Drosophila melanogaster: one gene and its partners. The protein of the gene in region 1 interacts with the protein of each later gene in a pairwise test. Each region holds a gene or a part of one and is shown in the gene's direction. Other genes may lie near its edges.

Evidence for each region.
Region 2: the proteins of Vajk3 (region 1) and Hil interact in a two-hybrid assay, tested with the Drosophila melanogaster proteins (one large-scale study listed by BioGRID).
Region 3: the proteins of Vajk3 (region 1) and BomBc3 interact in a two-hybrid assay, tested with the Drosophila melanogaster proteins (one large-scale study listed by BioGRID).
Region 4: the proteins of Vajk3 (region 1) and PAN2 interact in a two-hybrid assay, tested with the Drosophila melanogaster proteins (one large-scale study listed by BioGRID).

What each region holds. Positions count from the first base shown.
Region 1 is NT_033779.5:13,944,256-13,949,161, reverse strand, and holds Vajk3 (Vajk3), read left to right. Parts: upstream 1-1,685; 5' UTR 1,686-1,764; intron 1,765-2,034; 5' UTR 2,035-2,061; coding exon 2,062-2,073; intron 2,074-3,111; coding exon 3,112-3,933; 3' UTR 3,934-4,406; downstream 4,407-4,906.
Region 2 is NT_033778.4:20,613,722-20,621,243, reverse strand, and holds the start of Hil (hillarin), read left to right. Parts: upstream 1-3,026; 5' UTR 3,027-3,177; intron 3,178-6,310; 5' UTR 6,311-6,549; coding exon 6,550-6,738; intron 6,739-7,522. Other genes in the region: CG11180 (uncharacterized protein), read left to right, coding at 1-177; CG9945 (uncharacterized protein), read right to left, coding at 496-636, 700-806, 1,009-1,164, 1,225-1,764, 1,817-1,963, 2,024-2,288, 2,356-2,535. UniProt on the Drosophila melanogaster protein: May act as a modulator of septin function during cytokinesis in the developing nervous system.
Region 3 is NT_033777.3:22,084,128-22,090,438, forward strand, and holds BomBc3 (bomanin bicipital 3), read left to right. Parts: upstream 1-3,055; 5' UTR 3,056-3,075; coding exon 3,076-3,133; intron 3,134-3,190; coding exon 3,191-3,232; intron 3,233-3,301; coding exon 3,302-3,498; 3' UTR 3,499-4,374; downstream 4,375-6,311. Other genes in the region: BomT3 (bomanin tailed 3), read right to left, coding at 1,476-1,738, 2,106-2,196.
Region 4 is NT_033778.4:8,925,056-8,934,857, forward strand, and holds PAN2 (Poly(A)-binding protein-dependent poly(A) ribonuclease 2), read left to right. Parts: upstream 1-3,113; 5' UTR 3,114-3,244; coding exon 3,245-3,299; intron 3,300-3,402; coding exon 3,403-3,593; intron 3,594-3,653; coding exon 3,654-3,823; intron 3,824-3,880; coding exon 3,881-5,142; intron 5,143-5,203; coding exon 5,204-5,325; intron 5,326-5,378; coding exon 5,379-5,478; intron 5,479-5,535; coding exon 5,536-5,595; intron 5,596-5,654; coding exon 5,655-5,950; intron 5,951-6,014; coding exon 6,015-6,211; intron 6,212-6,275; coding exon 6,276-6,638; intron 6,639-6,699; coding exon 6,700-6,898; intron 6,899-6,959; coding exon 6,960-7,171; intron 7,172-7,235; coding exon 7,236-7,457; intron 7,458-7,515; coding exon 7,516-7,625; intron 7,626-7,687; coding exon 7,688-7,854; 3' UTR 7,855-8,048; downstream 8,049-9,802. Other genes in the region: CG8237 (uncharacterized protein), read left to right, coding at 707-1,684; AIMP1 (aaRS-interacting multifunctional protein 1), read right to left, coding at 2,017-2,829, 2,886-3,044; FANCI (fanconi anemia complementation group I), read right to left, coding at 9,562-9,802. UniProt on the Drosophila melanogaster protein: Catalytic subunit of the poly(A)-nuclease (PAN) deadenylation complex, one of two cytoplasmic mRNA deadenylases involved in general and miRNA-mediated mRNA turnover.

The sequences.
Region 1 (4,906 bases):
TATGCTGGCAATTGCCAAATCACGGACTCAGCCTGGCTGATATATAATCTGATTTTGTGCAAATGCACAAGCATCTAATGCCGCTACTGCAACGGCGACCCATAAAGGCCTTTCACTTTTACGCCACAGTGCAGATCTCACGCATGGCACCCGATCCAGTCACTGTTCCAGTCACAGATCCATTTGCAATCCCCGTTGGTATTCCACTCCACAATCCCACACCCAGCGTTCCGATAATCGATTTCGAGTGCGAAACTTGAGATTCGCAGCCCACGGTTATGCACCGCATCTGTTGCATCACTTTTCACCACCCCCAATCGCAGATAGTATCTATTTTTTCCGCCCGGTGATCACTAAACCATTGTCAATGACATCAAAGATGCCGAGAAATTCCAGAGAGGCAGCTTCCGTTTTTACCTGGTTGTTGCAGGAAGTGCAAAATGGTAACCCGAGTACCCCAAAGGTGGCAAGAAAACCAGAAAGCCTAATTATGACAGCAATAGAAATTGAGACATCACACTCAAATTACTATCTTGCAACAATGTATACTGATATAAAGCAAGTAACTGGTTACAAGTACAGTGAACTTTGATAAATGTTGCTTACTACAATATCAATTACAAAATCAAAGTTTAATGTAATTAATTGCCATTTTTAAAAGATCTGAATCCGGTTAAAAATTAAATACTAAAATCCGGAAAACATTCGGTTCGCCAAATGCATACAAAATTATAAGAAACATTAATTAAGTTATAAATCAAGTTACCGTTAAATCAAGTTCTACGATATTAGATCTGCTAAGTGAATTTGAGATTTATTAAACTCAAATGAAAGAAATTGCTTTGTTACACTTTTGTTTATTGGGCCACAAAATGTTTCGAAATAAATTTTATATTGAAATTATACAAGATTAAAACCAGATTACCCCTTTGAACAATTCCAGATTTATAGACCCTTTGTTTAAAATGCGAGCCGAACGTATAAATATGATACTAATAAGCAAGTTTTTTTTTTTTTTTAATTAATGGAATCAAAACAAAATCTAGTTGAATTTCCATTAGGTAGACTCAGAATTATTGATATTAGGAATCAGGTTCGACCAAAACTGCTGACTTCTGAAACTTGACAAACAAAACATAACGACTTTGATAGACATATGACCTTTCGTTGAAATCTATATTTTTGGGAACAACTTGCTAAGAAGCCCGAAGACTTTTTATCCAAATAAAACAAAAAAAAAACAAGAAAGGATTGCTAGTACGTTCTGCGGGATTTTCCCAATATAAATTTCAATTCAAGATTTAGTTAATTTATTTTATTTGCTTTTTATGTTCCCAAATTGATTTGATCACATTTGCACCCATATTTTATAAGCCACTTTCAAGTTGGCGGCTAAAGTCACCAATACACACAGAGAAAAGCCGCAATTGCGTGAGTATTGGTGGCATGCCAGTGTATTGGTGAGCGCTTCCGCTTGCAACTTTCCGTGCCGCACTAATACACACAAATATAACCAATACAAGCGCAAACCAAGCCGAACTCAGAGCTTTGAAGAGAGCAATTAGGCTGGTTTGTGGTGGGAAAAGCTTTTGGAAACCGCTGAGCGACTTGGTTTGGCGGTGTTTTCAGTTTCGTTTTGACACAAAAACTCTTTGGGGGTATAAAAGCGCGCCACTGACCACAGACAGCATCCAGTCAAAGGTTTGGAATCGCTAGTGATTCTACAATCCTTCCACAGTCTATTTCGCTGTTACTGAGTTGCTTGTAAGTGAAGCCAAATGCCAAGTTAATTTTTGTTTGTTTCTAAAATGCGTGTAGTCTATGTGAAACGGAAATAAAGTTTAAGCTGTGATCTAAAAGTTATAAACTAATAACTGTGCGAGCCGTGTGCTCTAAATAACTTCAATTTTCCAAGGAACATTTTCCCAAAGAACAGATTGTTAATACCAATTAAAGTGCTGATCTTATAAAAAAAAAAATATCTATGCTGCATTTCGTATAAATAATCTTATTGTTTTCTTTGTTTACTTACAGCCTTGGCAAGTCCCATTAGACTCCACAATGAAAGTATTCGTAAGTACAACAGACATATAGTAATTAGACATATAGAATTTAGTTTGATATGTAAATGGGTACGAGTATGTGAACTATCGCTGTTGGTAGCATATTTTAGTGTGAGAAATCAAGTAATAATTCAAAGAATTGCATACAGAACAATGCTGACATGAACTAATTGGAACAATATAGCCTTTTGCATTGCAAATGCCTCACATTGTTTACCTGGCCATCTTCAACAACAAACAACTTCCTGAAACAATTCAATCCGATAAATTTCCTTAATCAAAGGTGAAATGCTCGCAAACGACCAAATTCAACTTGAACGACATGGCTAATAAGCGTTTATTAACTGAACGATCATAATTGGAGTGCCAGCCACGTTTATTACCAGGCCGTAATCAACTGGGTTCATGTGCTCAATTAAAGCCAGCTCCAAATGCATTCGCTGAGTTGCCCACTGCGTATGCGTAACGTGACGCCAGTCGGTTGAGGCGTATTGCGGAAACTGGGCGTGGCAGTGGGCGATGACTGCACTGCATCATTTATGCCAGGCACGCACAAATTTCACTTGACCATTTGAATCGCGAAAGAGGGCGATGAGACAACGGACGACACAATGCGAATCGGGCCACATATCGCCTATCGCCTTCGCTTTCTATTGCGATTAGGTAATCGATCAAACTAGGCAATGGGTGATAAAAGTCAACGTTTTCGTTAGGCAATTTATGTAGGTTGCATATCTTGAATTGTTTTATCATAGAGAAGCTTCAAATACTTAAAGAATAGACTATACGAATTTCATGATAGATGAGTTTGCACAGTTGAGAATTCGAAGATAGTATGACTAAATTTTATTTCATTTCATTTTGAAATAGATTTAAACTATATTTGCAAGGAATCAAGTTCTACTTACTAACTTAGTTATTGTGAAATAAACTATTAAGAAATCACAAATATCTAGAATTTTGCTAGAAAATTAATATATTATTATTATTTAAAAGTCTCTAAAATGCATAGTTTCATAACCAATCGCACCAACTCAATTCTTTGCAGATCTGCTTAGCCGCTCTGCTGGTGGCCTCCGCCTGCGCCAGCAAAACCGAGGGTGAGAAGGTGCCGCTGGAGAAGAAGCTGGACAAGCGCGGCCTGCTCGATCTGGGCTACGGCTACGGTCATGCTGGTCTGGACACCGGCTACCTGGGACATGGTTCCATCTCCGGCCACGGAAGCTACGGACATGGCTACGGACTGACCGGATACTCCGCACCCGCTGCCGTCGCCGTGGGCCACAGTGGTCCCGCGATCGCCGTTGGACACACTGCTCCCGCCGTCGCTGTCCACCACGCTCCCGCCCCCTATGTGATCAGCAAGCAGGCCGATGTGCACAAGACCATCACCATCACCAAGGGAATCCCAGTGCCCGTGCATGTGGACCGCCCCTATCCCGTCGTCCATGAGAAGCGCGTGCCCGTCGAAGTTAAGGTGCCCGTGCCCCAGCCCTACGAAGTCATCCGCAAGGTGCCCGTGACCGTTAAGGAGTACGTCAAGGTGCCCGTGCCAGTGCCCCAGCCCTACGAAGTGATCCGTCACGAGAAGGTGCCCGTCCATGTGCCCGTCGATCGCCCAGTGCCCGTTGAGGTGCCCAGGCCCTACCCCGTGCCAGTGGCCAAGCCCTACCCTGTCTACGTGGAGAAGGCCGTCAATGTCCAGGTGCCCGTGCATGTGGATCGTCCCTACCCCGTCTACGTGAAGGTGCCCGTGGTGTCCCACTCCGTGGTCAAGCACGCACCCACCGTTGCCGTCAGCAGCTACCCTGTTAGCGCCATTGGCCACGATGCCACCGTCTACTCCGACCACCATGGTTACCACAAGTAAGCGGACGGAATGGACCGGAAGCAGGCGAATCTATTGGAGCGAGCGGACTTAATGGAAATGAGCCGAAGGATATCTAGCAACATTTTCAATTATCTTCCCCACTCTCTCCACCTGTCGGCCTTCCTTTCCAAAACCGAGCGCAGAAGCAAACTCTTAAAATACCCCCTGGAAGTCAAACTTCCGCCCTGCCACACTCTCTGTAGCTGATAAGAACCCCCAAGATGAAACAAGCAATGCCTTTTGTAAATTATTTCCAATCCAGCCATCCAATGGAAGCCATTGTGCTGGGCCAAGAACTCCAGGTTTAGGATAAATACCAGCTAACTGTTTGTAAATTTCGCCATTTATGAACAGTTTAGCTGGCCAAGTTTATCAGTGAAAGGTTTCGGCGCACAATGAATTGAATGGATAATAAGAACAGAAATATCTATGTGAAAATCTATTAAGGACAAATAAAATAAAATGTATAAAATAAATTTCACTGTCTTTATCACTGGTTAGCTGCTGGAAATAGTTTGTCATAGGGTTCTTTGTAATTGTATATCTTGTAAATATATTTTGTAAATAAAGAGTATGTTGTTATTAAACAGCTGTCGTTTTTGATTTGGTGGCTACTCAACATAAATAATATTTAAAAAATGTATTTTTACTAGACTTTTTGAGGATCATTTTCTGGAATATTTACAGCTCTCTAATAATATTTATTAAATAGACGGAATGGTTCAAAAACTTTATGTTCCGATCACTTTAATAAAAAGTTATACGAAGACCCTTTAATCTTGCAAGGTAACAAGTAGGATACCAGTAATTATTTCAAGCCAAGAGATGCGAATTATGCATACCTGTAATTAAGTACAGCTTAAGTTGTAATAAATCAATAATACTCAGTCACAATAAAAACAGATGTCTTGACGCCTTCCTGATCCTTAAACCCGAAAATCCTCTCACCAGTCAGTCAGCTGAGATGACATGA
Region 2 (7,522 bases), on another chromosome or scaffold:
GAAAACGTCGAGCTAAATGTGGTGGACTGTCCTTACGATGAAACGCGCATTCGCAACCTTTGGAAAAACAAAGCCGTTGAGCATTTTAAAAGCAAACAGCATAGCAAGTATCCGGTAAGGGTGCAAAGAACTAGCATACGAGCGGTCAAGAAGAGAGTCGCCTTTCAAGGAATTTAGATCGAGCAAACGAAATATATTTCAACGTGATTCTTATTATGATTGTTTTTGTACATAAACAACTTAAGTAGGTAGTTGGTAAGCTTCATGGTTTACATTTTAATGTACTGTTTTGTATAACACGCTAACTAATTAAACTGAACTATACATTTCAAGTGAGTGACATATTCTTCAGTCTTATTTAATAGAACCAATTATCCCAGCCGGCCCGACTGTGGTGAATATTCTCGTGCGTCGCTTAGGCAAGCCACTATGAATGAATGTAACGAAATGTAATATCAAAGGGGACCTTACTAGCTTATACTCTAAACCTTACAACTAGTCCGGTGTAACATTTCGATTCGCCAAACGTCGTGATCTTCTCAGGGGCTTTTTGTCATGATCCGAGCTATGTGATCGCTTTACCGGACGATTGGCGTTGCTGCGGCTGAAGTTGTTCAGGTGAACATGGGTGTCCCACTGCGTAGGCAGTTGAGTGTGCATTATTATTCAGAGGAATATTACTCATATTTCGATGCTTACCGAGCCAGACACGATTTCTGAGCGATCCGGATGCCAGTCCAGATCTCTTATCACAGTCCTATGTCCTTCAATAGCCTCTTGAATCTTACCAGTAAGTACATCATAAACTGTAAGAAAATTGGATTATTTTGAAAACATAATATGTTTATCAACGGAAACACAGAAATGGCCTTTGGTTTCACAACCAAATTTTTGATGGATAGAGAATTTCTAAAAATACTTGGCGAACTTACTGGCTAGAAAATGTATTTTAGATAGCCTTGTGAAAGAAAATCAGAGAAATACTGCAAGATAAAGGTGTGAACTCACTTATAATACGTCCGGTGGCACAGCCTGTGTAAATGTAGCGTTGCCCTGTCTGCTCCATGGGTGAGAACTTCGCCCGCAACAGGGTTTTGGTAACTCGGTGACCGCGGTAGGTCATTATGCTGGAGTCTCCTTCCAGTGGCTTATGCGGATTGTAAACTGCCGACAAGATAGGTGGGCGTTAAAAATTTTCCAAGAATAAAACGGGCACGAGCTTACATTCCCGCGGAACGCGGTTCCATCGGTAGTCCCATGTGGTGGGGTCGACTTGCTGTCTAGAACGACTGCGATTACGCATATTGCTCGGCTGCCTTATGTCCCAGATTTTGATGCTTTGGTCTTTGGAGTTGGACAGCACGTGGTAGCCGTCGTTGCGCGAATCGATGTAGGTGATGCCATCGTAGTGGCCGATGAAGGATGCCACAGACTTGGACAGGTCCCGTGAACGGAAGGTGGTGCGCAGGTCGTAGACCTTTAGCAGGCCGTCGTCACAGCCGGCGATTATCACATTTGGATCCTTATCGTGTAGGAAGCACACCGAGTTAACATCCTTGCCGGGCATGCGGTGGGTGCGCAGGATCTGTGTGTTTCTTGTGCGAATGTCGGTCACGATGACCGTGGAATTGTTGCTGCCCCCGATGATTTTGTCGCCTGTTGGCGAATAGCGCAGCGAGAAGATGGCCAACCTATGGCTTGGCAGTCCATTGACATCGATCCACTGGCAGTCGTCTTCCCCCCCATTCACGGGCATGATGAACACTGAAGGGGAAAACAACTTAGTGTGGATAAACAGATTGGGCGGAGTACCTACATGAGCGGGACCAGGTGCTGTAGGCGAAGTGCTCGCCATTCGGACTAAAATCCGCATCGATGATGCTCCACTCAACATCGCGGGCTCGGATGCGATTCAGCAGGTGATAAGTGCCCTTGGCGCCATCGTAAATGCGCACAAAGCCATCTGGAAGGGGTCAAAATCGTGTTTTAATGCCAATCGGAAGCGTTAATCATGAATGCTGACCTTGACAAGCGGTCAGCAACTTGCTGCCCGAACGATTGAACTTGGTCACAAATATTTTGGATTCCAGCGACATCAGGCGTGTGGCCTTTTTGTTTGGTATGTAAAGATTGGATATGTAGCGCTGCTGGTTCTTGGAGAACGATGCGCTGTGCGGCGATGCCAACCCATTCTCACGCTGCTGAAGGGCGTGCACCAGGTTCCAGCGATTGTTCGGATTGCTCACTAATCCACTCGACGCCTGGATCTCCTTGTACATATCAGTTTTCTGGAAGATTGCGTGGGCAATAAATTACTATTAATTGTTATCTGGGGACGGGGTATTTCGTCATTACCTGAAATTTAACTAGATCGGGCTTGCCTCGTATAACTGGCATCTCGCTGCTGCAATAATCGGAGCGCAGATCCATGGCGTTCACCGTAAAGTTGATCACGTTGAAGCCCAGCTCGTTGTCCGAAGAATCAAAATCGTCGTCTTCATCGCTATTCATCTGTATAGCCAATTGGTTCCCCATAACTTTTTGCGTTTTCCCTTTTGCACTCTTTTGTTATTAATTTCAACCTATCGTTTCTTCGATAATTGTTGCAGCCAGTGAGACCGCAGGTGAAGAGCCTGAAAATACCACGATGTTCAAGTTCAAACGTTGAACACCTATCGATCTATCGCAGCAGATTACGAACAAAAAATTGTAAAACCTTTCTATATAAATATTTATATAAATTAAAACTATTAAAAATGCTAAGCTGAAATGATAGTTATAGCAAGGAAGTGTAGCCGAGGGCTTTATAAAAAAAAACAAATGAAATTATAGATTTTCCAACGGGGACCAGAGTAAAATATTTTTAACGATTACTGGAACTCCTAGGCTGATCCGTGGACGGCTATCGATAGTAGTGGTGGGCACGCGCAGTTGCCTTTGCGAAGCGAGCTTTTTGGAGCTATGTAAAAGCTTTACCCCCAACAAAGCTCGACTCAGAGCGGATTCCATTCCGCGAATAGCAAAGCAACTAGTCTCAAATCGATCGTGATCGCGCTCGAGCCGAACGGAAAAGAAACGGATCGAAAAGAAAAGCGGCTCGAAACCTGTGCTAGTGTGAGTGAACGCGTCCGTGTGTGTCGTCGTGCTGTGCTGATTGTGTATGAGTGGTTGTGTTTGGTAATGAAATTTTGTTACATTCCCAATATTCGAAACCTGCTGTTCGGAGAAGAGACTTTTGGAGGCACAACAAATAATGCCGAAAATGTGATAAAGCGCAGAATTGGAATTCCGGATTCATGGACCTTGCGAACTGAACAATCTGCTCTCCCCTTTTTCTATGCCTGTGTGTGTGTATGCAATATGTGTGCTTGGATCTCGCTGGGGCTATCGCTCTGTGTGTGTGTGTTTGTGTGTCGGTGTGCGCCTGCGTGTGTGTAAAATTTATGATAAATACTTTTGCACAAAGCGCGCCCCTTTGCAACCAGAAGAAGAAAGTTGTTTAGCATATATGCGTAAAAGTAATAGAAATACACATAAACGGCAAAGAAGTGTGTCAAAAAGGGCCTAGAATAAGCACTCCATGTATCGCGTGTGTATAATCTAGGCGAAAATAACAAAAATAATAGCGATGCTGGGGAAATAATCTACGGAAAAACTGGAACAACCGACGCCGCGGCTGCAGACACGAAAAAAAAGTGAAAGATTGCAGGCTGACGTTTGAAGTCGAAGCTGGGCCTGCGTCACGGCATAAACACACACATAAACCAATACAAACGCAAATAGACGGGGTGGGTGGTTGAGGCGACACCACCTGTCATGGGCGCTGGTTGCACCCGCCCTCCATCCCTTTTAACTACACGGGTTTCGTATGTGGCTTCCAATTATTGTGGCTTGCTCATAAATTATTTTCGGTGTTTGTGCTTCTAATTTATTGCCAGCGAAATGGGCGATTTCTAAAAGCAATTCATTGTTCCATTCAATTAGCGACTTTGAAATTGGCACAGCAAAGCAAGTACCTTGATTTTTTCAAATTTGCCCAACCAATTCTCACACTTTTCAAGAACAGTTAAACGTTTTTGACAAGTACTTTTGTATACTTTAAATAGTTCGCCTAAAAGTAAAGCGAAATGGGAAAACAGTTTGAATTTTATAATGTTTATTAATTTAACAATTATTTAAGTTCATCACATTGAAATTATCTGCCTTTATTTCCATAATCTAAAAAGGGGAATCATTGCCCTGTTCGACTTGTTAGTTATTCACATTAGTGCCATTGTCACATTTTAAGTTTATATTTCTCCCCTCATATCGCTACTCTGCAGTGACGCAATCATTTGCATCTTATTTTAATTCCTATGATTGTTTCACTGCCAGGCGGAATAACCAGTTGCTTTTTGTCTTGTTGTTTGCTGCTTGGCTGTTGTTTCTTTGCATTTATCAAATCTTTGTATCTGGCTTTAATGTGATTAGCGGTGGCAATTATGCCAATTCAAGTTCATTATACTTGTGTTGCTGCTGCAGCAGTTTACTGTTATTATTGGTATTTATTTAATTGTCATTGTTAGCGTTTCGTTAAGCAATGCCAGCGATAAGGGAAACGACAAAAACAACAGCAGAGATACCACATCGAAACGAAAGACTTAGGCAACGAACTTGTTCGCCCGATGCAAATGCTTCCGAGTGCTTATCAATTTATTTAAATGTCTCGATTGCAAACAATTGCCCGCGCAGAGCAACTTTCGTTTTTGTGACTGCTTCTCGCGTTTGTCATTTTATTTTGTATGTTTATATTCCATTCGCATGGCATTTCATCCGCATTGAGGTGGAAAAGAAACCCAAAGCTGGCACGGAGCACAGGCATGTGTGCGAAATTATATGCGGCATCTCGGGTTACCTGCAGTCCATAGCTTCTTAGTCACACCCAAGTGGCCATGGTGGCATGATGGGATGATGGAACGATATTGTGATAGGTGATGTAAGTCGCACGAGGCGTTTTGTCAAAGCCGCCCCATCCAATTTGCAGGGTCTTCGCGGCTATCCACGTATTCATGTCCATTACAATTATAATTACACGCTAATTATGTCAGCCGCTAAGCGTAATTGGACCATTCAATCACACCGATTATGATCGCATCAACAGATCAAACTGCCATTTTTGTCGCTCTCGATGTGGGCGTTGTTGATTGATATTCGAATCGATGCGGGGGCTATGGCCAAAGAGCTAGACGAGATTGTGGACAGGTTAGTCATCGATGGAGCTTATGGTCTTTAAGGGCACAAATCTCCCGCTCGTCTTGATTCACACATCAATTTGTTGCCTCACATTCGATGTGGTCGATCAAAAGGCAGACCTCAAAAGCGGAATAAATTTTTATTCACAGCCAATCAAAATAATTTGGTGTTACAAAATGTCTTGGCGGCCTTCGCCGCATTTGCATTGGCGTTTTCCCCTTTTCCATTTCAATTTCTTACCATTTTCCATTAGTGCTGCAGCTGCAATGTGGCATGCAATCCACAGATCAGCAACCTTCGATGCCGCAACTGGCGCTAATCATAAGGCCTTGCCACCACCCATTCCCCAACCGATCCCCAACCACCCACCATTCATCGCCCGGACTCAACGTTCATTAAACTTGAAAAGAAAGCAAAACGATGACTTTGAGTTCGACTGCGGCTTTTGGCTTTGTCTGCGCAACTGAGCCGCATTTGTTTTAATTTTGGTCAGAGCAACAGACGCCGCAACAACAATGATTTCAATTAAAGTAACATGCACTTGCTCGCACACACTTACCTTCACACAGTCTGCTTTTCCACTTCAATTTAATTGTTGTAGCTAGACAAAAACCGAAAGGAAACCTGCCAGTAACAATCGCGTCAATTAATCAAATGGAAAATGCAACTTTTGTGCCGCTGCCAGGCGGCAGTTGCAAGTTGCACGAGCCAGTTGTACGACGAATGCAGCAACTCAAGTTCAATTGTGGCACGTTTGGAGCAATCTCAAGCTCGACTTCCCAAGCGAGGTCAATGGCAAGGCGAAACGGATTTAACCCTTTGCCGCTGAGAAACGCCAAAACTCTTGTCCACCGTGTCCAGTTAATTAAGATTCATTAATAATCTGCCCATAGCCAAAATAAATGAAAGTTTTGGCTCGCATCATGACAAACGCCTGCGCAGAATCAAAATTTTTGTTTTTTGAACCCTGATATGGTATATGGTGATGGTCGAAAAATCTTATCGCAGCCCAAATAGGAAATTTCTATCTCCCACTCAGGCAGTAATCATCGTTTTCGGTCATTTTCGTTTCGGACAGCTTCTGCCAGCTGCGGACGGATGACGAGGATGAGCGGATGAGCGGATGATGTCGCCCCCAGAACCAGCAACTGCAAACTCGAAAAACTAGCAGAATATACTCGTAAATTCCGCGCCAAGTGAAATTGAAAGACGAAAAGAAAAGTGACAAACTCAACAGGTACAGGTCCACCGAAAACCAGTCGGAAGCTGCCACAGAAAAAGAAAAGATCCAGGAGGAATACATAGACGCCAAACATTATGTATCGGCCAAATTTCTACGAGTCGACTTGCCTGCGCTGCAGCGAGACAGTCTATCAGGTGGATCGTGTGGGGCCACTAAAGGATTTCACATTCTTCCATTCCGGTTGCTTCAAATGCGTACACTGCGGCACAAAGCTGACGCTCAAGACGTATTTCAATAATCAGCACAAGCAGGATGACAAAGAGGTAAGTGCCACCACAAGCATCGCCGCAAGCAGCGGCACACGAGACAGACGGGGACGGACCGACAAAAACGAAAGACTTAAGCGACAAACGCGTCAGTCTAAATATTTGCACAGCTGCAAGATGCAAAAATGCAATTCGAACGACACTTTTTGTGTTTTTCTGCCTATGCATAATAATAAATAACTTTGTTATTGCACCTTGCCGAGGCGCAAATGTGTGTCACTGCGGTCTGTCATACATATGAAATATATACCTATAGACTCACTTATGTAGTGTGTACATATATTCATGTACAGTGCGTTTCGCAGCTATGCGGTCAGCCAGTAAGTCGGGGGAATCATATAGCTTTCATAAGTATTATAAATTATTTAAATGAAATTTATTTAAGGAAAGAAGATCAATTAAATGGAAAAATCTATGAAGTATTATGGTGACAATATTATGTTTTATATGGTTGAATGTATGTATTTTCCATCTAGCAAGTTAAAAATTTGTATTAAATTTGTATATAATATATGTATTTAGTTCCTTGACCTGCCTTAAAGCCACAAAACGCACTGTATTTGCACTGCAAAGGTCCGTGTTCGTTATTGCATATTCTATTGCCACCTGCTGTGTGTAGGTGAAGTGGTTAAAATTGCATTTGCAAGCGACTGACTTTTGGGGTCTGCTCACGCACTCAAAGCGAAACCCAATAAGGCTAATGGTGTGTTTCGATTTGGACGCTAGATATATGCATTCCAAAAGTGTTTTAGTTGAAAATTCCTTTTTGTTTAAGGAAATT
Region 3 (6,311 bases), on another chromosome or scaffold:
GCGAATCTCAATTGCTGTTGCATGCAGCAGCGAATTTTGCACCTAACTTGTGGTGCTTCTTTGTAAGTGTCTAATTGAAAAAGTGCTTGGCAAGGCGAAATCTTTTCATATTAGCGGGGGGAAAAAAAAACAGTTTTTATGAAGTGCACTGCAAATATTAATTTTTCAGGAGGCTTAATGCTTTGGGCAACATCTTTAGATTGCCCACATCCTGGAGAGAACCCACACTGCGAGCCCTGACATCGACAAGGAGGTAATCCTGAGCAACACTTCCTTTGAGCCTAAACGAAAGGAAATGTATTCATTGGAAAAAGAATGAACATTTTTATACATGTGTATTCAGCAAATAAATTATTACCAAATTACTATTTCTCCCATGAATATATACTAATATCAATGTTTAATGGGTATATATTTAATAAAAGCATGATTTTCTTAGAAAATTAATCTAAGCCCAATGTGCTACTTCTTCCACTGAAAACCCGAAGCTACTTTACTGACACTGAAGATTTTCGATGTGCGCATTCTACTTCTAAAACTACTACTACTACTAAAACTACTCATTCTAAAACTACTGATTGCACAGGCTATAAATAAAGTAATCTTTAAGCGTATCTACTTTGAAATGGTTATTTTCGTTTCGAATGTGTAATTATACATGTGCTGCAAGAGTCTTAACTAAACATATATCCACGAAATGTACTATTTTTAAGCGTGCACGCAACCTTTTCTTAAATGCAAAAGAACCAACTTAAAGAAAGGAAGTCCTTGAAAACTGTTTAACAAAATGCATGCTATGATACCGATAATTATACTTAATGACCCTTAATTTGATTCCGGTTCATTTGCTTCAGCTTAGCTCACCAAAAGCTCGCCGAACGAACAAAAATCGAACTTGTAATTGTATCAATTAAGTGCTTGTGGATTCACCGAGCGGTTCTTTTGGTTCAACTTTTTGGAAATTCGATGCCCTTGCATATTTAGCCAGGGCAAGTCCTTTAATTAAGACTGACAAGCAGGATGGCTGAAACTTTGAAGAGCTTATGAATTATTTCCTTTGCAGGACTTTGACTCCTTCAACCGAACAGCACAGTCGGTTTTATGGCTTTAAGGGTATATTAATCATCACTCTTGAACAGTTGCTACTCATTTATACGTGTCTGAACTGAATTACAATGAATACCAATTATAAAATGCACAGGAATTAAGGATATTATTTTTAGAAGCTATAGGTGGCATGCCATTTATTAGTAGCGTTAGCTGAGTATTTGATAAGTTTATTCACTAGTTTTACTTTAACAGAGGGACTTGTTTTTAACCTTTAACAAAACCTAACAAAAGCTCATTCTGTAAGTATATAAAAGTAGTCACCGCTGATAAAATATATATTTTTTTTATTTAAGTCTATATAATCTAAGTTTCAGACGATGCTTGCTCTTCGCGCTTAGCGCTAGCAAAGCTTCGAGATTATAATCTCAGCCGCTTATAATCTGCGTAAGACCGCCATCATCGTAGCCACCTCCACCGCCGCCTCCGTAGCCTCCTCCACCTCCTCCTCCGCCGTTACCATAGCCGGGTCCAAAGTTGCCCGAATATACTGGACGACGGCCACCTCCTCCACCTCCGCCGCCGTTGTAGTATCCTCCACCGCCTCCGCCTGCGTTGTATCCACCTCCTCCTCCTCGTCCTCCGTTGCCACCTGTGTAGACTCCAGGTCCTTGGCCTCCGGGTGGATTACCTAATAGTGATATTTAAATCAGTTTCTTGAGGAGTAGTAGTTACTTAATTGCGCGCTAGCTACTGCATTTTTTACGCAAGCCAGCAAATGTACTATGCGCTATAGAAATTAAAAGCTTAAAGCTAAGTGTTCGGAATTATATTATTCATAAACTTAACCAATAACAAATGTTTAGAGTATCGTTAATAATCACTTAATGACTTTCGTTGCCAAGAAATACCATAATATAATAACAAATTGATTGTTCATTCAAACTTTCGCTAATGAAAACACAAAATTTCCTTTTAAACTATGCCTGATGTGGCAGCGACGAAAATCGTTGAACAATTTTTGAATAAATGGCCCAAATTAATAGGCATTGACTTACAGTCGTAGCAACCGCCACCGATGTAAACAGCCGCCTCCGTTAGAGCCAGTGCAAAAAAAGCGATAATCGCAAATGCCGTCAAGGTTCTCATTGTGGCTGGTCTATTAGAACGTCGAACTGGTCTGGACCAGGTACGAACCGCAACAGCAGCTTATATACGATGCACTCATCGATTCCGATTCCGATACTGAATTTGAATTCGAATTCAAACCCAAACAGACCTTATCGCTGCAAAGAACTATTGCTGTGCAAACAAACCACTACGTATGTATTAAGTATTAATCTCAGGGAATTGCCCGCGGATGGGTTTCAAAAACAATCTGTAGCGCATCAGTTGGTCAGTCGTATTGCATTCAAGATACTCTACGTTACCTTTTTAACATAACAAATACACAAAATCTGTAAAATCTATAATAAGTCAGACACTTTTCATTTCTACAAAGTTGCAAAGATTTATTTTTAATGAAATGTATTTGTTTTCAAATATATTTTTTGCTTTTTCATTGTATTAAGTATCTTATTATTTAAATATAAATTGTTAGCTTTAGAACTAAAGCTTCTACATTTCACTCACGAGTCACGACTTTCGGTTCTGTAACCAGTTTTCCTTAGATGTATGGATAAAATTTAATGGTGTGCGATTCTCTGGAATCGCTTGCCATTCATGTTTACGTCTGGGAATAATTGTAAACCGACTTTTCGGGGCGTGACTGTCATAAGTTTCTTTGAAGAAGTTCAAGGAAATCAACTACGTCGACCTGATGCCACAAAACCGTGTGCGGAAAACCCCATCGAATTGCGATTTGATAGTGTTCTAGTGTGAAATTAATTTAAATATATTGTTCAAATACAAATCGAAAGCTCCAAACGCTTAGGCTTATGCAAATCGATTTTGATTCGGATCGAATCAAGTGCCGGACTATATAAGTAGCGTGAGAGTCGATACGGTCATCTATCTATCGGCTTTAATATGAAGTACCTGACGTGTGTGCTGCTCCCGTTGGCTTTAATTCCGACTCTGATCGGCGGTAAGCTGGACGGGATTGCTGCTGACGCTAATTGATACACACTGAAATTATTTCCAGCTCATCCCAGCACAGTGGTGGTGAATGGCGTCTGTCTGACTTGTAAGTTGCGATTGTTTTGCCAGCTAGGCAATTGGACAACTTAATGAATAATAATATGCACTCGAAAAGGTCCCAATCCGAATGGTGAACCCGTCTACCTGGATGGCCAGCAGTACCGCAGCTTCTCCTCATCCCCTGGCGATGGTAATGTGGTCATTTCCCGTGGAAATGACGGTAGTGGCGGTGGAGGTGGCACCATTTACCGGAGGGGTGGTAATACCATCGTCAATGGCAGATGTCAGCACTGCAACGTGGATCCCTATTAAAGGCTTAAACAATAAAGTCTGAATATTGAATTAAAATTGCGCACATATCGATCAATCCATTTCATACTTACACTTGGCTATGTACAACATCATTTAGCTAAAAGCATTGACAATCGTTCAACCCAGTCTCTCTGCAAATTCGATGAATGTGATGGTTTCGAGTGCAGAGGGCATCATCTGATGGAGGCAAAAAATGGAAAAATGAGCGTTTTATATTCAGTTTTTGTTACCACGAAGTACACGTGGAGAAACATGAAACATCCGAGTTATTTTATGCTGCGAAAAAAGCGTGAAGAATGTTATAATTGCTTTTGGTCGAAATATTCAGTCCTGAAAATCAAATTTTTCACATTTAAAATAAGAATTTTTTTTAACGATTTCCAGTACCTCATTGCGTGCACTGCGAGCTGTCTGTTTGTGAACATTGGCTTCTCTCATCCTTCTCAAAAATAAGTGATACAAAAGCGTTACATTTTCAAAAGCCTTGGTTTCAAAACAGTCTGCAAATAAGGGAAGACCCACGGATTTTGTGACGGAAAAATAGAGAAATTCGTGCTGCCAATGGCATCGATTGTTTGAACTTCAGCTAGTTGCCACATAAACTGGGCTGGGAGCTGACGTCGCTGTCTCCAGAGTATTGCACAGCATCGATAATCAAATGCGAGTAACCAACCGTGCAATTTACGCCAGTGGATGTGTTGTCAATGAAAACGCTGGCCTGATGTAAGGGTGCTTAAGGTTGCGCGTGCCACGTGGCGTATACGTAATGCTACTGCAGGAACGGCAAACAGAAGCCTCTCAAATATTTGCTTTGAAACTAACTACTCGACAAACAGTAAACACTTAGTGCATACACACACACACACACACACACACACTTCCCAAGAATATTTTGTGCAGAAGTTTCGAATAAAACTGATGCTGTGTTTTTATATACAGAATAAGAAGGGAAAAGTTTCATTCAGGCTTAGCATGCGAAAACAATTAAAATTGTAAAAGGATTACTTAACAATCATACAATTTTGATTTAAGCGTATAACTTAAGAGAATAGTATTGATTCCCGGACATCCAAGAATAAAAACCTAAGCTTTATTTGCAATTAAAAAAAAATACAATGCATTGAAATCAATGGACTGCCCTTGCGGATGTGCTAAATTCAGAAAAACGCTCGACTGGCTTAAAATTCAATGAACATTTGGGTGGCATAACCATACCAATCGTAAAGGGTTTCGATACACTTTCTCTGATTTACTTTTAATACACTTTATTGGCAGAAATGTGTCGTTTCCTATCTTTTTGGGTCACAAATTGTTTACACGCAACTTTAGAAGCCCCATGAAGCTGAGGAACTCAGTCCTAGTCCAGAACAGGGTGGTTTATCTGCCTAGCAACTTAAGGACCTTGAGCTGGGGAATGTTCGAAATTGAATTTATGTTGACTTGTATTTGATTTCAGGTCAATTTCTGTTCTCTTGTGCCTAATTTGTGCGGCATTAGAGGGGAATTTCTGGGGCAGGTGAAAGGTGAGCCGATCGGACTTGTGGCAGCAGTGGCCATCTCCTTCACGCTTTTCAAATAAATTTTAACTTTTTTCTGTTTCGCCCCCGCAGTGTTTTGCCAGAAGGCAGAATTGATTTATTTGTACACCAATGTTGTTTGCCCTGGGGGCAGCGCCTTTGGTAATATTGTCACGTGCTTGGAAACTCTTATATCTGCCACTGGTTGAGCTTTATTTGAAAATCCCGGCCGCATAGCAAATTTACATAGCTTTAATTATTATATTTTACCCCCAACTCGCCAATGCTTGTATAAAGTCGCTCTTCTGTTTACTGCCTCCTTTTGGGGCGCCAGAAGATATTAATAAATAAATTAAATTCCATGTACCCAGCACTTCATTATCGACAGGATTATTCCTTTTCCCACCATCGAAATTGGAATTCCGACTTTGCTGAAAGCGTATAATTAACGAAAATGCGATAAGTGCTGGAATTATGCGGAGAAAAGCATCAGTTTCTGCGAAGTCATCCTTACAAATGAGACACGTGAAATAGCTTTGGTTGATTGTGAAATTTAAGGTATTTTGTGTGTGTTGCTAAGGGATACGACTATTCTATACTTCAATTAAATGAATTAATTTACTACTAAAGACCTAATTTATTGCTTAAGCGTTTCGACAGGTTTATATTTACTAAATCATAAACATATTAAAACGGATGCTACATAAAAAGTTTATGGGGTGACAAGGTCACGAAAAGTATGACAACTGCGAAAAACTTGAAGCTGACTTCTGCAGTAATTCGCAAGTTAAACTTTGAAGGGCATACACGAACAAAAAAAAAAGGAAAAAAGAGCTCAGAAGTGTAGCTAAAACTTTGAAAGGACAACTTTCTGCGATGGAAATTCTTTTGTAAATACCCAGACAACAGGTTGAATACTGCCAAACCAGCAAAACGAATTAACCCAAAAATTCACTTAATTGCAACCGGCAAAGTGGCCTCACATCTTAGGAAAAATAACCATATTTTTACCTATTAGGATAACATTTATGGTTTTCCTAGAACATGCATTACCATGGAACTAGTACATCATTTTTCAGGGTGTGAAAATTCAATTGAACTTCTCTCACAATCAAGGTCAAAATGATTTAAGAAGAGTTTCAGTTCAGTATTAATTTGGCAGACCAAAGTGGAGAACATGGTGATGAATTAATTAAGCCAGGATTGTAAAATGTCCTTATTTAATTTGATTCCGTCAATTAATTACCAGACTGTCTTATCATCTTGCTGCCAATTACACTTTAAGCAAGCAGCTAA
Region 4 (9,802 bases), on another chromosome or scaffold:
ACTTTCCAATCAAATGTACATGTTATTTTTCAACATTAGCTAGGTATTTGATACGCATGCATTCAAAATCGTCCACGCCAGGGTACGAATGTAAGGTGTAGACTTCTGGCGCAGTACTTTTTAAATGCTTGATATCCTTAAGAACTTATTCACGCCTGTTTGTCAATGTGAATCTAAAATATCATGGCGGGTTGTCAACGGATTTATTGTATTCGATTCTTAAGTTGCTATGTCTAAGGAAGAAATCAAACCACTTCGAACTGTGTAATAATAAAATATTCAGACAATTGTATGTGCTTCGTTGTGTCGCTGATTTCAAAGTAAGTAAATACGGGTAATGTATGACCTCGTGCTTTTAATTTATATATTAAAGAACTACAAAATGCATTACATTTAGTTCATTAGATAAACAGCTTCTTGTTCGGTTGCCCAACTACTTTTTATTCAACATTATAGTTGTATGTACAAAAAGTTAGAATAATATATTTTCGAATTTTACGTACTATCAAATATTTCGCATCAAAAGTTAAAGTGAGTCTTCTTAAATTTTCCCGCCCTGCTTGAAATTCACAGGGAATCGTATTTAGCAGTATTTGTCATTCGCAGCGATACGCCGACACACCCTACCGATTGCAATACACGTCAACTTGTATAAATAAATAAAAGCCAGCCAAATAACAAAATCGATCATTGTGAGACTGAGAAAATGGGTGAACAAGGCGAGGAGACGGGTCAGAAGCTTACGGAGCGCTCCACCAAGGAAGCCTACTTCGAAAGCCTCGCCGAGTGGGCCAAACAGGCGACGCTGGCCCAGAATGCGATGCTCATGTTTCCCTACTACCTGATGGCCAACTACCCGACCATGTTCCCGGGACTGCCTTCTTCCGCTGCTCTCCAAGCAGCCGCCATGGGACAACCCCAAGCACTGGTTCAGGGCTCGGCTGCTGCGCCGGGAGAACCAGCTGCAGAGCCTCGTTTGCCTGCGCCAAACTTCAGCGGCCTGCGGATATTGGGCGAGGCGGCCCAGCTGGATATCATACAGCGTCTTGGCGGCTACGAGTACGTTCTGTCACCTTTTTGGAAGCGCGCCGTGGCGGAGACCATCGATATGTTCATCCTTTTCATTGTGAAAATCATCATTACCTTCGGGGTGGTCAACCTGTTCAACATAGAGTTCGATGAGGACGTGATTCGGCGCACCCTGGACCAAGAAGACCTCTTTTCGAACTTCTTTGACACATCACTAGATTTTATTTCGATGTCCACCGACCTCCTGCTAATCGAAATGCTGACCAAGTTCATCGTTTGCTGCTACGAAGCGCTGTGGACATACCTATACCAAGGGGCTACGCCGGGCAAGTCGCTGATGAAGATACGCATATACTATGTGGAAGCAGTGATGCCGCTTCAGGGGCCGCCCCTTCCACAGTTCGTCCTCCAGCCGCAGAGGGAGCCGATGAGGGCTCTGCTTTATCCGCCACAGACTCCCTCGCTGATGCGCTCCTTCGCCCGCGCGCTGATCAAGAACCTGGGGATGACCCTGCTCTTCCCCATTTGCGTGTTGATGGTCTTCTTCAAGAACAATCGCACCGCCTACGACGTCCTAACCAAAACGATTGTGGTGGAGAGCAATTCCATTGCCGTGTTCCGCACCCAAGGGCAAGCGCAGCGCAATAATCGCTGAGGACGGCACTTAAACCAGCCAAAGTGTGTAGGAATGGCGCACTCCTATGCACTTCCTATGCACATATAAATAGACTTGTTAATGATAAATTTAATGTCGTTATGTACTGCTGTCGTGTGAAATAAAATAAAATATCACATGAATACCTCAGAATCTGCACGATAATCAAACATAACCAGTAATCCCAATGATCAGTAGAGCTTCCGATATTCCTGTAGAGCTACTCTTCACTGGTACTAGAAACTGAATGATAATGAAGTTCTGATACTGAAATGGTGTGCAGGCGGTGATGTTTCGTTTATTGGCTCAAAGCTTTAGTTTCGTTTATTGGCTCACTTCACATTGACGTTCTTCAGGGTTTGGGCCACCACGTTGCCCTTGCCAGGAACATGGAGAGCGGCGCCCTTGTAGCAGGCAACCAGTTCGCCGTTGGTCTTCAGATCCGGGGCGCACGACTCAAAGATCTTCTTCTTGGGGTTGAGCTGGGCGTCTGGCTGGCGCGGATAGCCCTCGCAGTGAACCAGGTCGCCGGGAACAGCTCCGGCGGGCGGACTGAGCACTTCCACTTTTTCCGGTGTAGATGCGCACATGACCATAGCCTCCGAGGTGACGCCGCGCATTTTGGCCGGCTTCAGGTTACACATGACCACTACCAGACGGTTCTGCATCTCTTCCAGGGGCACGAACTTCACCAGACCGGACACCACGGTGCGTGGAGCCGCCTCGCCGCAGTCGATCTTCTCCAGATACAAGCTGTCGGCGTCGGGATGGCGACCCACCTCCACAATCTTGCCCACGCGTAAATCCAGGCGACCGACGTCGACGGGAGCCTCCGGAGCGGCGGCGGGCTTCTCGGCGGCCGGTTTCTTCTCCTTGGACTTCTTTTCCTTGGGCTCCTTGGCCGGCTTAGGAGCCGGGGCAGCGGGTGCAGCGGTAGCAGGTCCAGCCTCTGCCGGCATAACTACTGGGGCCGCACTGGTGCAGAAACCCCGGGCTCCAGGCACCGGAATCTGTTTCTTGCCATTTCGCAGCTCCAGCTGCACCAGCTGGGCCAAAGCCGCCTCAACTTCCTTGGCCAGTGCAGCGTTCTCCTTGATCAGCTCCTGCTTCTGGCGCTCCACAAGTTGCTGCTGGATGCCGGAAATCTGGGGGGCAGTAGGTTATCGAGTGTTCGCAGGCGCTGGCAGGCGGAAATACTTGCCTCGGCTTCAATGGAGTTGATCAGCGCCTCGGCGCGCTCGTTGTTGCTTGCAATCTGCTGCAGATCGGCCATTGTTCTTTTGTTTCTCGCGAATTTTGAGCAATTCTGGCCGTAATTTTTACATGCGGATCCCACAGTCGTGGCAGCTCTACGCAGCATTGCAGTGCTTCTTCTTGCCACGCACAGTGGCGTCGCGCAGCGTTGGACAGGTAGTTCGTTGGCGGAGAAGCGAGAGTATTTTTACATCAGCCCTGCCAGGGTCACTCTAATCGGTGCAACGCAAAAACGGCTGGCAGTTTTGAGCGAAATTTGTTAAAAAATAAACAATAAAAAGTCGCGTGGGCATCGGCGTGCGGCAGATGGATTACGTGTATTGCGGCACCGACCCCATCGGGGCCTCCGAAGACATACTAAGTGGGTCAAGGGGTCGCTTTGGGGCCAACGCTCACCCACACGCACACACACACGCAAGCCAGCTAAAGCTTTCTCCTTTGTTTTCTGTTTACTTTTTGAAAAGGTGTTTATGACGCGGGATCTGCGCCGGGAAACGGGCACTTTTCGCCCAGCTTCAATGGATTCAACATCGGCACCACCGATCCGGAATATGTGGAGCTTGTGCCCGTGCTTGCCGACGGCGGGGAGCACTTCGGCGTTTCCAGCGTGGCGTTCGACGACTACGAAGAGCTGCTGTGGATGGGCAACCAGGGCGTGAGTTCCTCGTCCAGCCTGCCAGGCTTACTAATCCTGAATCTTCGCTCCTTCCCGCAGGGCCACGTCACATCGTACTACACAAACTCCATGCAGAAGTACACATCCTTTCAGGTCCACGCCACCGACATTGTGCGCGACATCTCCACCCTGGACTCCGGAGTGCTGGCGCTCACGCAGACCTCGCTGCGTCATCAGATCCGCAGGGGTCTGCCCAAGTTTACCTTCAAGTAAGCCACCGCGCTGGCACAAAGATTCCCCGAAAGTGAGGTTTCAATTTCTTGCAGATCGAACAACATGAAGGAGATGGTGAGCATGCTGCAGCTATCACCGCATCGTCTGGTCATGGCCGGACTGCAGGACGAGCTTATCGACTTCGACCTGCGCACGCTCAAGGAAACCCGCATAGAGCATGTGGGTGCCGGCGGATGCACGGTGCTACGCAAGAATTCACGTTATCTGTTTGCCGGCGACCAGCTGGGAACGGTAACGTTGCGCGACCTGAACAGCCTGAGTGTTCAGCACACAATCAAGACGCACACCAACATCCTTTCGGACTTCAGTGTCCAGGGAAATCTGCTAATCTCTTGCGGCTACAGCGGAAGGCAAAATAACCTGGCCATCGACCGCTTCCTAATGGTCTACGATCTGCGCATGCTGCGCCTGATCGCGCCCATTCAAGTGATGATTGATCCGCAGATGTTGAAGTTCCTGCCATCGCTGACATCCCAACTGGCCGTCGTGTCCAGCTACGGCCAGGTTCAGCTGGTGGACACTGTGGAGCTCAGCGAGCCGCGAGTATCCATGTACCAGATCAACACCAACGGCAGCCAGTGCCTCAGCTTCGACATTAGCTCCTCTTCACAGGCCATGGCATTTGGGGACCAGTCGGGCCACATCAACATGATTGCCGCTGTACAAACGCCTCAGCCGCAGTTCAATCTCTACTCGCGAAGCACAGAGTTTGCGGACGTGGTGCCACAGCTGCCGATGGTCTCCATTACGGACACCAACTTTCCGCTATCGTCGGTCATGCTACCGCACTTGACGACGGGCACACAATGGTTCTCAGATTGGCCGGAGGAACTGCTGCGCTACCGCTACCACAGGCCCAAGACCATTGATCCCGAAGTGCTGAGCAACATGAAAATGCAGGGACCGATTGGATACTCGCCAAACCCACGCACCGCCCGTCGTAATCAAATTCCGTACGTGATTGAGCAGGGCGGCGTGTGCAGTCCGAACGGAAATGGAACTGCGGCGGCGACCAAGGCGGAGAACGGTGTGAAAATCATTCCACGGCGGTATCGCAAAGTCGAGCTGAAGTACACGAAGCTGGGCACCCAGGACTTTGACTTTGACCAGCATAATCAAACATGTTTCGCGGGGCTGGAGGCAACGCTACCGAACTCCTACTGCAATGCTATGCTACAGATTTTGTATTTCACCGACGCGCTTCGCGTGAAGCTGCTGGAGCATTCGTGCATCAAGGAGTTTTGCCTGTCCTGCGAACTAGGGTTCCTCTTCAACATGCTGGATAAAAGTACCGGTTAGTTTGCTTGTGTAACTTAACTATCCTTAGTTTAAGTATTTATGTGTGCTCCTTTCAGCTTCTTCACCTTGCCAGGCCAGCAATTTCCTGCGATCTTTCCGCACTGTGCCAGAGGCCTCGGCACTGGGATTGATTCTCACCGACCGCTCATCGAACGTCAATCTAATATCGCTGATACAGGCAAGTAATACCATGGTTTCCTAAGCAGATATTTAATTTATGCACACTCTCAGAACTGGAACCGATTCATTTTGCATCAAATGCATTACGAAATATTCGATTCTAGCAAGAACGCATCCACCTACAGCGGATCTGTGCAAACATCAACGAACGGTAACCACAGCCGAGTTTATCCTTTACAAATAAGTGAAACTTCGATTTATTTTGCAGCGGAAAACGCGGGCTCTTCAGAAACAAGTGGCTCCTCGGACCTTTACGATTCCATAAGTGGTGGGCAGGTGAATTAATGGTTTAACTAACACTCTAATCATATGTACGTATATGAACAGATGAGAACTCCAAGGAGGACGATCGGGAACGCAGTAAGATCAACGCAGAAACTGACATCAGTAAGATCTTTGGGACCAAGCAAATCTGTATAAACCGCTGCATCAAATGCCAAGAAGAGAAGATAAAGGAAAGCATTCTACTTGCCTGCAATTTGTCGTATCCCAACCACATCAAAGATAGTGATCAGTATTTCAACTTTGGCACCATTTTGAAGCGATCTCTCAGCTCCGAGAAGAGTATTCAGGCCTTCTGCGAGAGATGTAAGAAGTTTTCGCCAACCAATCAGAGCGTGAAGGTCGGGAGCTAACTTTATAGTGAACCAAGCAAGAAGTTACATATGTAATGCATCTGAATTTCAGGTGACTTCGCTTCCGCAAATTCTGTCCATTAACTGTGGCCTCAACAACGAAAAAGACATTACCTTCCTGAAGCGCCAGCTCAATCGCTGCAGCGAAAAGACGACTGTTGATGCGGCCGCTTCCTTGAGCACAAGCAAGCCGTGTCGATATGGAGCCAACTGTTCGCGAAGTGACTGCCATTTCATGCATCCGGATCGGTGAGTTACGACGAATCGAAACTGAATCAGTCGTCTTATGCATATTGTTGTACCTACTGTGCAGAAAATCTCCATCGCACACAAGCCAACCGAATGCTGTCAACAATTCTCCCAATGGACGCCAAAAGTCCTGGTTTCCCCTTACATTTACTATGGGCATCAATGACCAAGGTGAGGTGCAGGTGCAAACTCAATCAGATGCAAGCAGTGGCAAATCGGAACAGGAGGAGGAAACGGAAAAGCCACCAACAAAGGGCTTGGACAACAATCGGATGTACGCGCTGCATGCCGTGGTGTGCCAAGTCGATGATGGTACCCAAAAGAACTTGGTATCGTTGATAAATGTGCAGCGGCCATACCACACCATGAAACTGGCTGAATCTGCAGATGACCCTCAGAGTCAATGGTATATTTTTAATGATTTTAGGTAAGTTAGATCTCTATTGTGAATGGCCTTCGATTAATATTGCTCATATATCGCTCAACAGCATATCGCCCGTTTCGCCACAAGAATCGGTATGGTTCACATTGGATTGGAAAGTTCCTTGCATACTCTTCTACAGACACGTAGAGGATGACTCTGAGTCTGCTAGTACTACTAGCTCGACCGTCACGGAAAGTGAAGAAACCATTCCATCAGAGAGCAGCAGCGGCTCGCCAACAAATCTATCCAACCCTTTTCTAGAGGTTAATAGTTTAATATAGCATTGAGTCTGCTGAATGCTAATCTGAATCTTAATCCTACCAGGAAATTGTGAGTCCTATGCTAGGCAACTTAAGTGCAGACGCCACGCTGCAGCCCCTGCAGTCAGATGAAATGCCGCAGTCGGGTGATCTGGTCGCAATGGATGCCGAGTTCGTTACCCTAAATCCAGAGGAAAATGAGATTCGCCCGGATGGCAAAACGGCGACCATTAAGCCATGCCACATGAGTGTGGCCCGGATTTCATGTATACGAGGGTAATTCATTAACTGAAACTTAAAAATATTCATCTCGATAAGCACGGGTATGAATTCTTTACAGACAAGGCCCGGCTGAAGGAGTTCCATTCATGGACGATTACATATCCACCCAGGAGAAGGTCGTGGACTACCTAACTCAGTTCTCGGGAATCAAGCCTGGCGACTTGGACGCTAACTTCAGCAAAAAGCGACTGACTGCCTTGAAGTACTCATACCAGAAATTAAAATACCTCGTTGACGTAGGAGTAATATTTGTCGGACATGGTCTGAAGAACGACTTTAGGTGGGATGCCCTGCTTTGTAAGGAACCAATAGACCACTAAACTTCCATGTGATTGCAGGGTCATAAACATCTATGTACCGTCGGAGCAGATAATAGATACGGTGCACCTGTTTCACATGCCACATCATCGCATGGTTTCCCTAAGATTTCTAGCCTGGCATTTCTTGGGTTTGTATAGGGGTTTTCTTCGATTTGGAATTGTATCTAATTGGGTTTTCCTAATGCCAAAGGTACTAAGATTCAGTCCGAGACGCACGACTCCATCGAAGATGCACGGACCACTCTGCAGCTCTACAAGCACTATTTGAAGCTGCAGGAGGAGAAGAAGTTTGCCAACGCTCTCAAGAATCTTTACGAACGCGGAAAGCAGCTGCAGTGGAAGGTTCCAGAGGACTGATTCGTCGCCAAACCCGATGCCAATTCGACGAAACTCATAATCAACGTTATCGTCAGTACAAACGCTACACCGATCTGAAAAAATCCCGGCTTCTCCCAATTTTATTATGTTTTAATGCGTTGCTATTTGCTACGAAGCTCCTGGTATTTCATGTTGTATTTGTCTATCTTTATAACAAAATCAAAACAAAGCATAAAAGTTGTATTTCTTATCAGTGATGCTTTATTGATCGTTGATGCGAATCTAAGTTGCTTATCAAATCCACAATCGGGCTAATAGGCAAAAGCGGGCAACAGATGTGTTCAGGGATCGTGCACGTCAATCGATTCAATTCCTTTGAAATTCTCATTCGCCCTCCCCTATCACCAGCGGCGTTTGTGAATTTTTGAGATGCTGTCGCCAATTTGATGAATAACCTGATGTTGGACTACTGCGCACCTACTTATAAATACCACGACGAGCAAGTCAAGCCAGTTAGTTGTTAGAGCTCACCATTCACTCAGGGAACATAGATGACAATGCATTTGCTTGGACTTCTCGTGCCGATCGCTTGCGCTGTTTTGTGCGTTGGTGAAAAATCCCTTTACCATGGTCTCGCCCAAACGGAGACTAATCGACGATTCCATTGCTCCCTCAGCTGCCGATCTCCAGCGGACATACGACGGACATGATGGGCCTCACGTTTTCGGAACACCCGGCAATCAAGTCTACATTCGGGGGCAGAACGATGGCGTATACAAGGTGCCAGGAGTAGGTGGTCAGTTCCATCACGCATCGTCGCCAGCAGATCACGTCTATACGGATGAGCAGGGGATCACGTATGTGCACAAAAAAGACGCTGGAGGACCAGGTGGCTAAGAATCATGGTTCGAGGCAGTGCATAAATCTTATTATGGATACTATTTTAAGGAACACATACGCTTAGAGGACCAGGTCTAGCTGCTGTACAGCCCGCCTACTCCACTGTGCAGCCTGCGGGACTTCGCAATCCCCAGTTTCATGTGGAGCGAAGTGGTCGCACTGTGGATGTTGGTTCTGGAGGATTTGTCGTCCAAAGGAGCAGACGTAGTCCTCAGTTCCATGTGGAGCGTCCTGGTCGCACTGTGGATGTGGGTTCCGGAGGATTTTTTGTCCAAAGGGGCAGGCGTAGTCCCCAGTTTCCTGTGGAGCGACCTTGGCAAAGGGCTTTGAAGGACTGATTGTTGAAAGGGACAGCCGCAGCATCAAAGATGGCCGCGTCCAGGGAGAAAACTTCGTGGCTCGTGACGATCAAGCAGGAATTTGGGATGATAGTGTGTCGGTGTGGAAGCGTCCGGATGGACGAACTGTCTCGGTGGGCAATGACGGAAGTGTTATTGTTTCTGGACATGGGCACACGCTGCAAGTGAGTACATTGTTTAATTTATCAAGTTTCGCTTATGAATATACTTATATATATTTTTTATTTGCAGTACTAATAAATAATGGGAAGCAGCCTTTTAATTTACAGAGATTAGGTAGCTAAAATTCCAATGATATTAAATGAACAAGATTCACAAAAACATTGAACAATTTTTCTTTTTGAACATGTGGAAATTCTAGAAAACAGCAATACAGCACATAATGAAAATTAAGTAATTGCGATAATCGCAACCATTTTTGAATAAGCAATGGACTGGCATGATTTAAATACATATACTTTTTAATATACTTTTTTTTAACAAAACATCATTTCCTTAATGTACGAGGTATTCCCAGTCTACGACTAGGTTGTGGTTTCTTCTTCTCAGCGGGCACTTCGGGAACGCAAAGATCCACTTTGGCTGGCTCCGCTGTTTGCTTATCCGCTGGACCTTTTGACCTTTTACTGGTACGACTCTCATGGGATGGCTGCTCCTCGGGTTTTTTAATGGCCACACTCCTTTTGGTTTTTGGCTCCACTTTTTTGTTTCGCCTTAATTTTAAAGTC